Schizosaccharomyces pombe: one gene and its partner. Changing the gene in region 2 together with the main gene of any one other region gives a genetic interaction. Each region holds a gene or a part of one and is shown on either strand. Other genes may lie near its edges.

The links.
Region 1: of cig2 (region 2) and rcd1, changing one suppresses a phenotype caused by changing the other (phenotypic suppression), as found in Schizosaccharomyces pombe (one study listed by BioGRID).

The regions. Positions count from the first base shown.
Region 1 is NC_003424.3:5,416,866-5,421,065, forward strand, and holds rcd1 (CCR4-NOT complex subunit Rcd1), read right to left. Parts: upstream 2,309-4,200; 5' UTR 1,947-2,308; coding exon 1,095-1,946; 3' UTR 501-1,094; downstream 1-500. Other genes in the region: mtq1 (S-adenosylmethionine-dependent methyltransferase), read right to left, coding at 1-415; multidomain vesicle coat component Sec16, read left to right, coding at 3,132-4,200. UniProt on the Schizosaccharomyces pombe protein: A differentiation-controlling factor that is essential for the onset of sexual development. Induces ste11 when sexual development is invoked through nitrogen starvation.
Region 2 is NC_003424.3:2,708,187-2,714,695, reverse strand, and holds cig2 (G1/S-specific B-type cyclin Cig2), read right to left. Parts: upstream 4,915-6,509; 5' UTR 3,617-4,914; coding exon 2,381-3,616; 3' UTR 1,644-2,380; downstream 1-1,643. Other genes in the region: P2 type calcium transporting P-type ATPase Pmc1, read left to right, coding at 1-1,643; mitochondrial [2Fe-2S] cluster assembly and transfer glutaredoxin Grx5, read right to left, coding at 5,827-5,917, 6,250-6,509. UniProt on the Schizosaccharomyces pombe protein: Essential for the control of the cell cycle at the G2/M and G1/S (mitosis) transition. Interacts with the cdc2 protein kinase to form MPF. Interaction with res2 promotes the phosphorylation of res1 and inhibits MBF-dependent gene transcription.

The DNA.
Region 1 (4,200 bases), 2.7 Mb from region 2:
TTAGGTTTGCCAACACAAAGCTTGATATGCAGCCAGACCCTGTACATAAATCGAGAATCTTTAACGGTTTTAATCTCTCGAGTCGATTTAGCTTATCAACCACACGTTCAACCCATTCTTCTGTTTCCCAACGAGGTATTAAAACTCCTTGTTGACAATCTATCTTGATATTACCAAAAGGTTGACTTTTCAGTATATACTGAAGTGGATAGTTTCTTGCTCGAAGTTGACAGGCATTTACTATCTTTTTTCGCAACCCATGTTTGCTAATTTCTGGATACAGCAGCTTTAATTCCTTGCATATCCACGTCCACTCTCTTTTAGCCAAAGATGGATCTCTTGTGGCATGATAAAGAGGGAGTAGGCAAGGGTTTTCTCGATATAAAGCAAATTTAGTAATTCTTGGTAGTCGCATATGACAAACACTATAATTAGGAGGACAAATTATCTCAAATTACTTTTATCTGATTATTTGCTTGAATGAAGTATAGCAGAATTAACGAACGTAAATATAAATCAAATTCTGTTGTCTATTGTACGAATTCTTTAAATTTATTAGAGGTAATCGATGAAACTGAATTGAATATTGTAGAAATAGTATAAGTATATATGATACGAAATAGGAAAAAAGGTGTTTTGGTTAAAAACATTAAATGCGTCGGCGAATGTTATATCTTTTTCTATTTTTTTTTTTAAATTTTGCTGACTCGTAAAAATCATCATTCGTGACGCATTTTAAGGAAAGATTAAGAGAAAAGGATATGAAATCCTGAATCTAACAATTGTAAGCAAAATTAACAGTAAACCCCTGATTTCCTTAAAAAAGCCATCAGAGTAAGTTCTGTCCTGAGGAATAACTTGAGCACATTAAGAGGAGTGAAAAATGACAGGGCAAAAATAATAATAAAGGAAGATATAAGAAAGACACAAGAAAAAATTGGTGACGGACGAATAACACAAAAAATCGCCATATGCCAATCACTTACGGTCACAAATTATGATTGAAAGTAAACCAGATAGGAAACGAAGGGCAGATATTGAAATAATTAATTCAACATTTAAGAAAAGTTTTTTAAAAAAAAAAAAAATAACGATTACTGATTAACAACGGCGACGTCTGATAAGTTGATTAACAATTGGGCAAGACATTTTTTAGTGTTGTGATCATCCTTTAAAACCTGAGCAAAGGTAGCATCACGTAAAGGTTCTGGTAGACAGTGTCTTAGAGCTTCTCTGGCGCGAGGATTGTCACTAAGACGAAGATAGCAACGAATAACATGCTTTAGTAAACGAAAAGCAAAAGAGTCTACAAGCTGCATTACCATGTTGTTCAAAACCGACGCAACTGCATAAAAGCGTTCATATGTTTGACAAATATATTGAAGACCAACGTCGTCACATAAAAATTTTTGTACGATGAAAATCGCAACGGTTTTTGATAATTCAGAACCGTTCTCCATGATTCTGAGACAAAGAGGAATAATTTCTGTAGATAATAAAAAGTTGATTACTTCTGGAGAGTCATTTTTAACTAATGCACCAATCACCCCTAAACTAGTAAGGCGCAGGTATTCAAAAGGTTTGGATTTTGAAAGGGTATTCAAAAACGGGTATAGAAATAAAGTAATGTGTGCATTTAAAAAGTGGATTCTAGTTTCAGGATGAGAAGCGATACACTGGAGTAAAGCTAGCGCGTTGCACACTCTGTTACTAGTTGGTCCTGTAAGTGTGGGTGGATTTAAAAGAGGATAAACGCTGATAATTTCTTGCAACAAAGCCGTCATCACACCATATGAATGCCATAAAATAAGAGCCAAATCTTCATACTGTTCTCGTTTACGAGATAGTTCGACAAGAGCTTGTTCGCGAGATGTCCCAGAAACAAGTTGAATTATCCATTCATAGACAAGTGCTGGTTCATAATTAGGGGATTCCAAGTTTTCCATTTTTTCTAGAATGCGGGAAAGAAATAAAAATGCTATAGTTTATTGTCGAAAAGAATAAAATAAAGAATAATAATTTTATAGCTGCCGGAACTAAAGAGCAACACCTAACGAATTTGTAGTTCAATCCAAAGGATAGAATAATGCACTAAAAGGTAAAGAAAAGGTATTAACGTTAAACGACAGTCAGTAAAGTGCTGAGTGTCGAGAAAATGATAAAGCTTTTAAAATTTTAATGGAATTTCAGTCCTCGTGCTATGCGTGCCAAACAGTATCAACTTGCACAGCAATACTGGACTTAAATAATTTAAAATACAACAATCTTATAAACCTGAACTGCAAATGCTGTTCCGTAGATTTCGCGTGAGAGCAATGGACAAGCACAGTGTTGGCAGGGAATAGCAAACCTACCGCACTGCGCGTTAGAAAAATGCAAGATACATTACTGAGTAATAAGGAGAATCAAATATTTTTAAAGAAAAGTGGGCAAAACGCATTTAGAAAAGGTATTTAACCATTCTTAGCTCGCTTCTAATAGAAGCTATAAAATAACAGAGATATAAGAAAAGGAATTTACCTATGTTATATCTTTGAAAGCCTTTTTTAAAAGTTATTTCTAACGCTTTTGTAAATACTACTTTTCTAAAGATTTGTAAATACATATTCATACCGAATGCGTAACCGTTGATGTTTGCTAATTGCACATCATTTACACTTTCATCAAGAGTAATTTAGTATTCAAACATATAATAACTTGAGCCGTTTCTTCTTCAATAATTGCGTTAATGTTTGAATAGCTTTTTTGTTTACTATATTTACCCTTACGAAGAATTATGAACAACATTCACGAACAATTAATATAGCGTAGTATAAGGATGTATGCTATTCTGCTTCTGACTTTAATCTCTCGATACTGACTGGCGCCATCAACAAACTTCCTACCATTTTCTATATCCTTGTGGTTGATTGTTTTTTATTTGAACCTACCTATTATTATTTTCGATTACTGTTTGTGAAATTTTGGTTGACCATTTCTCATGGAAAGCTAGGGGCCAATTTTTTTCCTACAACTTTGAGCATTGTTTTATCCTCCATTTATTGGTATACTTTGCTGCCTATTTTTCGTTTAAAAAATAAGCTAAATTTTTCGTCTTAGTAATATAATATTGGGCACTAACGTATCAAGGAATGGATATTGAATCAGACCACGAGCCTAAGGAGTCTTCTGTTGATCTTGAAGGACGGCATGATTCTATACGCAAGTCTTTTGAAGCTGACGATATTGATGTGACAGATGAAAACACCATTTTTTCTACCTCTAGAAAAGAACAAAGCACAATTGAACCTATGGATTCCTTTGTTGAAAACAACATAGCCAATAGCTCCTCTCAACAGTCAGTTTCAGAAATTGACATTCAGTTGCCTTCCTCTGAGCCTAAAGAAGGTGTTAAAGAAGAAAGCAACTTAATAGAGAGTAATTCTTTGGACAATGTGCAGGAAATTAATCCTCAAAATACCATTGGCGACAAATCGGCTCACACAGAAGAGGAGTCTTCAAATGATAACTTGGTAAAAATTACTGCTGGAACCATTATTTCTGACATAATGGATGAGCCTGTTGTGGATGAAGACGATAAACTCTCTGAAGAAGACTTGAGCAAGGAAGACTTAGAAACGACTCTTAAGGGTGACGAAAACTATTCATCGTCGCAAAAAGAAATATATGATAATGATGAGACAATTCCTAAACCACCATCTCCAGAAGTCGAAAAGATAGAAACTAGTACTTCAGTTGAGAATGCATACATTACGAACTCTCAATATAATGACACTCTTGATATGGAAGATCAGACATCTGATTTAATTACAACTTTTGAGCATGAAAATGAAGACCATGAAGTCCACGAGGTTCCTTCCATTCACGGAATGGAAGGGACTTTTGAAACCGTAAATCTAACTTCTGAAGCTGGGAATGAAAAAGAGTTTAACAACGATTCTGTAGTATTGAATACGACGCCAAAAGAAATGCAAATTTCATCTTTAGATGCTGTTGACAAACTTGAAGATAAGCCTGTTTCGAACGACAATATCAAAGCCAATATAGAATCGTCGACTACAGTTGATAGGGCTTCATCTCAGCTTGAATCGGAAAATAACGAATCCACTTTTTTTGTACATAACCAAAATTCCTCCGGGCAACATCAAACTTTGGATTTCGTCGCAAGCAAACCCGTTACCGATACCCCTGAGCTTAGTA
Region 2 (6,509 bases):
ACTCTTGGCCTCCCAAAGATATTCCCACCAATGACGAGGATAGTTCTAATCCTTTGAAATGGGAAGACGCATTTACAGACATGACTTTCTTAGGATTTTTCGGTATCATGGACCCTATTCGGCCAGATGTACCTTTGGCTGTAAAGGTTTGCCAAGGTGCAGGGGTGACTGTTCGTATGGTTACTGGTGATAATATTGTTACTGCTAAGGCTATTGCTTCGCAGTGCGGAATTTACACAGAGGATGGAATATCCATGGAAGGACCGGAATTTCGATCTCTTTCTGATGAGAAACGCTTAGAAATCTTACCCAAATTAGATGTACTTGCACGCTCATCTCCTTTGGACAAACAGTTATTGATTGAAGGACTGCAGAAGCTTGGTAACGTAGTAGCGGTTACAGGTGATGGTACCAATGATGCGCCTGCACTAAAAAAAGCTAACGTCGGCTTTTCAATGGGTAAATCGGGAACCGAAGTTGCCAAGGAGGCGTCCGATATTATCCTTATGGACGACAACTTCTCGTCAATTGTGAAAGCAATTGCTTGGGGAAGAACCGTTAACGACGCTGTAAAAAAATTCCTGCAATTTCAAATTACCGTGAATATTACGGCTGTTTTCTTGACTATTATCTCTGCTGTTGCCTCGACTGACCAAAGCTCTGTTTTAACTGCTGTTCAGCTTTTGTGGGTTAATTTAATTATGGATACACTTGCTGCTCTTGCACTTGCCACTGACCCTCCTACTCCTGAAGTGTTAAAGAGGAAACCTGAGAAACCAGGTGCATCGCTTTTTACTTTTGACATGTGGAAAATGATTATTTGTCAATCTATGTACCAACTTGCTGTTACTTTGGTGCTACACTTTGCTGGTAATAGTATCTTCCATTACCCTTCCAATACTGCGGACATGAATACTATTGTTTTCAATACCTTTGTCTGGCTCCAGCTGTTTAACGAAATTAACAATCGGAGATTGGATAACAAGCTCAATATTTTTGAACGTATTAACCATAACTTCCTCTTTATTGCTATTTTCGTTATTGTTGCTGGTATCCAAGTTATAATTGTTTTTTTCGGAGGTGCCGCATTCTCCGTAAAAAGAATCGATGGTAAAGGATGGGCGATTTCCATCGTGTTTGGTGTTATCTCTATCCCACTTGGAGCCTTGATTCGTTGTGTACCAAACAATTTCCTAAGAAAGGTCCTTCCGGTTAAGACAATTGACACTGTTTTCTCTTGGATTCTAAATCCTAGGTTCCGTTCTAAGCGCCGTTCAACCGATCATGATGTTGAATCCCTTAGTCTTATCCCGTATGAACCCACATCTCCCAACGAAGTTATTGACTCTATTCGTCATTCCCTTGGCTTCGTTCAACGCATTAGAGGAGGAAGGATACGCCACCTACTCAACAACTCCAAATTTGATAAACAGATGGAAGCGCTTCCTGAACGTCTTCGTCCCCGTGTAAAACAGAGATTTATGAAGATCCGTTCACCTTCTGTTTCTTCAGCTACTAGCGTAGCTTTAATGATTCCTATCTCAACACTTGTTAGTGAAGCCAGCGGACGATTAGGTGGGCATGACATTTGGATTTCTCACAATCGCCAAGCTCTCGATAAAAAAAGCTCAAATGTTCATTAATTTAAGACGAATGTATGAGACAGAATAACAGTGATTCTATTATCGAATTTTTCTTTTTTATTTCCTTATTCTCGTTGGAAATCGCCTTCTTTTTCTATATTTGTTATCAATTAAAAGTTTGTTTCTTAGGTTTAAAAATTCCCTTTTTGTATAGAAAACGAGTCAGCTTTACCTTTTTCCTTATGTCTACTTTCTTTGTTTATCTTTATGAGTTACTTGGTTTTTGCCTATTAATGGTTTAGCCAGTTTGTTATATACCGCTTGAGCTTTAAGTTTTATGAATGAATAAAGAAAACTCCATTAATTAGAAACATGTTGTTTAACAGAAATATGAGGAAACAACGTACACGTATTTTGAAATAAAAAATGTAAACGTAACATAAAGTAAGGAATGAAATTATCGAATACTCTAGAATCAACGGAATCATCTAAAAGACAATGTGTGAGGATTAAGCATCAACACGGTTTGTTTAGTAGACTACAAAATTTTCAATTCTAAAACTCTTGGATAAAACTTGGGTATATGGTATATAATTAAGGACTTAGTTATCAAGGAGGAAAGGCTTGATGACATACTTGAAAACAGTCCTTGCATAAAGATGATAAGATTCAAAGAAAGAGAAGAAGAAAAAGAAGCTCTTTAAAAAGTAAATAAGTTATGATAATAAATAATAAAAGAAGAGCTCAACCTCATATTCAACAGAATATTTGCGTAAGAAAATTTATAAGAGCGTTCGTTAGTGACCATCATTTGTTAAAGAAGAAGACGGTTCTGATTGAAGGTCATCATCGTCCGTACGATTGACTGAGTATCGTTGACGGACGAGTTGATGAACAAAAATACTAGCCTTCAGGAACCTTTTTGAGGAGTATTTTTGGAAAAAGGCTTTGTGTTCTAGAGGCTTGTTATGATAATGAAGCATAATATACGCTATCTCCTTTAATTCATGCTCTTCATACCCACCAGAGCTTTCAACTAACTTTGGCGTCCATGGGCCGCGACGCAATAATCGGCGGCTCAAATACATTGCGGCAGCAGCAATTTTAGACATAGGATATCGTAATAAATCGTGGTCAAACAGATAAATTTCTGTTAGGTATTTCCCCAATGTCCTTGTTTGTGCATCATAACCTTCTGCTTGAGATATTTTGCGAAGAAAATTTAAAGGACTTGGATAGGACAAGTCAAAATTGAGAACATTTAACATATAACGTTCAGCGACACAGACATCTTCTACGGTAAAAGCACCATCAGTCATGTAAACAAAGTTTTGTATCGAAGGACACATAACCTCCTCATATTTGCTAGCGATGAGAAGAGCAGTAATGCCTGTTAATTGAAATTTAGACAAAGAGCATGAACGACGCGACAAGAATCGATCAATTATATTGACTGCCAAATAAAGGGTTTCGGGCATTAAACAAAAGTTGGAATGTATTTCCACCAACCATTCATTCAAAATTTCCCTCATTTTCCAGGTTAATTCTTTTTGTTGGTCCATATATTTTGGATTGGGAAGACACTTTAAATCCAGCTTTCTGATGTACTCAAATATTTCGGGTGCGTATTCCTCAGCCATCAAAGGATTGGAGGATAAATGATCATCAACATTAGAGACTCTGTCCTTTTGTAAAGTTTCTACAGATGGATCCGCATTTTTGCTATAAACTTTCAACTTTTTCACGAATTTAGATTCGACAGGTTTATCAGCTTCTTCATTTGTAGATAAATTAGATTCATCGAACGATCTTTTCGCTTTTTTCGTATCCTTCTCATCAGCATTATTTTTACCTACATTGGAAACATCAGATAGGACAGTTCGACGTGGCAGATTAATTTCAAAATTTGTAGATAATTTTGTCTTCTCAGTCCCTTTTGATAAAGCTTGTTTGCCAACAAGTGTGTTTTCATCTTGATAACTATGCTTATTGATTTTAGAACCAACAGGCTTTGAAATTGAATAGAGAGCCATATGAAATATGGATTGATAAATTACCCTTTTATCAACGTATAGAAATATATCTGATTGTTTGTAACCAAAAATGTCTTCTTTTTATTAAAATAAGGAAACTGTTTTTGGTAAATTAATCTCAATTGACAAGATGGATAAATTAGGGAAATTGAGCGATCGAGAAACAGAAAGCACTTATAGCGAATTTTTAAAGTTTCTCTTTTAAATGAGAATAAATCAATGGGTCCGAATTATTCTATTGTTGTTGATAGGAAGAAAGGGAAAGAAATCGTCCAAACATAAACAAATGAATTGTGTAAACAAACCAAACCAACCTACTGTTGTGGATATAAACGAAAAAAAAAAACAAGCAGATGTAATCAAAATTGAGAAAGAAAAAAAAGTAAAGATAAATTTTTTAACGTTCGATTCGAAAATGAATTTACCTCTTTGAGGTATGCAGAATTAACTCTTATAAAGCACAAGAGCGTAGTTTAAAGGGACAATGATTAACGAAGAGAATTAAAAAGAACACTTCTTTGTAATTAGTTTAGAAAAAGCAAAGTTGAAGGTTTGATAAACAAACGATGGATCAGAAAAAGCAGCACTAAGACGAACAATACAAGCAAATAAGTTTGATAGTTCGAATTTAAAAGAATAACAAATGTAGGTGTTATTTTTCCAGCAAGAAAAGCGAGTAAAACCTTTTCAGCTTGAGGGCGAGAGCAATGCTGAAAGGCTAAATAAATTGCAATTGGGAAGACTGTAGGATAGCAATTGTTGCACTAATATCGAAAGGGGACGATTAATTATGTTTTAATAAGATATAGTGTACTTGTTATAAGAGAAATGACTGTCTTTGGCAAGCGCCTCCTGTAAAAGAGTAGGACAATAAGCGAACCAGAACAAAGAAAACAAAGAAACTTAAAACGGTAAAGTACACAATAGAAACCGACACTTAGCAGCTGAAAAGTGTAAAAAATTAATTAAAAGAAAATAAGTACAGTAGAAATAAGATACTCCGGAGTAAAAACTAGCTTGACACTCAAAATACTGAAAGCTTAATTTACTATTGTTTACAGTTAAAACCAGCTCAACCTAGTATATGGAGCCTAAACTGATCCCTATAGCATGTATTTGAAAAAAGAAATTAGAAAGAAGGAATATTCAAAGAGAAAAGAAGAAACGCAAAAAGCAGCGACAACAAGAGAAGGACTTCAAGGTGGATCCAACCTTTGGTAGAGTCTTGTAAAAGGGAAATTACACTTGTACAAGTGCCTTTGAAGCCTTTCTTGTAACTCAACACAAGTCAAAGTGTCAGTGAAAAAGCAAAAGACAGGCATAGCAAGCATATAAAAGAAGTAAACGCGACGCGACGCGAGAAACGCGCTTTCGCGCAAGCTAAGTTGCGTGCACCTCGTTTTGGCGTGTTTTAGAGCGCGCGCTTTGGTGTAGCGTTTTGTATATTACAATTCACTATGCGCGTGCCGTCATTACATGCTACACAAACTAACGCAATTTGAATAGAATTAAAAAGGGAGAGTTCGCTAATACTTTATATCGCAGTTACACTATAATTCGCTATATGCTGAGCTTGGAAGGAATAATGTTGTTTGTCAAGAAACACAAGCATCTGTTAATAAAAGTTTGGTAAACGTCTCGTAACGTCGATAAGCCAGTACTTTATATAATCAAAGAAGAATTTTTAAATCATATCAGATAACCAATCGTAATGCTTTCTGTGAATTACACCTACCAAGACATTGTTCTGTGCAACAACATAAGCAAAATAAAACAGTATTCAGCAATAGCGCTTTAACATTAAATCTAATTTACGACATTTTTTTTAAAAAAAAAGTCAAGGAATAACAATAAGGCATAAATCACGACACTAATTTCCATTCTCTATGTCATTTGGATGGACATGAACATGAACATGATCGCTTTCAAATTGATATTGAGGTTGATCCAAAAAATAACTTCCGATAAAAATTATTTTTTCTTATAGAGCTCTTTTACATTATTTCCAACATTTTGTCATGAAAGGGCATGAACACAAAAAAGAGGAGAAACAGAATTTCAAAGCTTCATTAAAGAATATCAAGCGTACAGCAAAAAGATAATTGAATAACGTCTGATTGATATACATGGCCTGTGGTGTCAAGTTGACCAATAAACTAAAAAATGCACAAGACCGTGGTACGTTGTGCAAATTAATTTGCAATGTGGACTCAATCCTTTTTAGTAGTTTCCTCTTCACTATCCTTTGGCTGTTCAGGGGCCAAAGCATTTATTTCTTTTAGAATTTTGTGAAGCTCTCCTCTACAGACAAATTGTTAATACAGAAATGTTGACAAGGAGAAATAATTAAATATGAGAGAAAAAATGAGGGAGAGAACAATGTGGCATATATAGACGACGAATTAAAGACACTGATACACTAATAGTTGATTTTTATCCAATGCTTTAAAAGGGAAAGTTCATTTGAAGAAAGAGCGAAAATATAACAGGGTTTTTTTATCTTTAATATCAACTAGAGTGATTAAACAGTTGTAGAATCCTCCTTCATCATCTTTAACATTTCCTATGACACCTCCTCAATCCTCACCGTCTCTCTACCAAATAATAAAAATACAGTTTAAAACATTACTTACGATTTATGCATGGACGCCAAGATATCACTACCGCCCACGAATTCTCCGTTAATATAAAGTTGAGGAATCGTAGGCCAGTCGCTGAACTCCTTTATACCTTCACGTAGCTCATCATTACTCAAAACGTTGTACGTAACTAATTTATCGGAAGCAACGTTTTCTAATGAAAGAATTTGAATCGCCTTTAATGAAAATCCACACATTGGGCGGGTAGGTGTACCTTTCATGAATAAAACGATAGGATCCTCTTTGACGGCCTG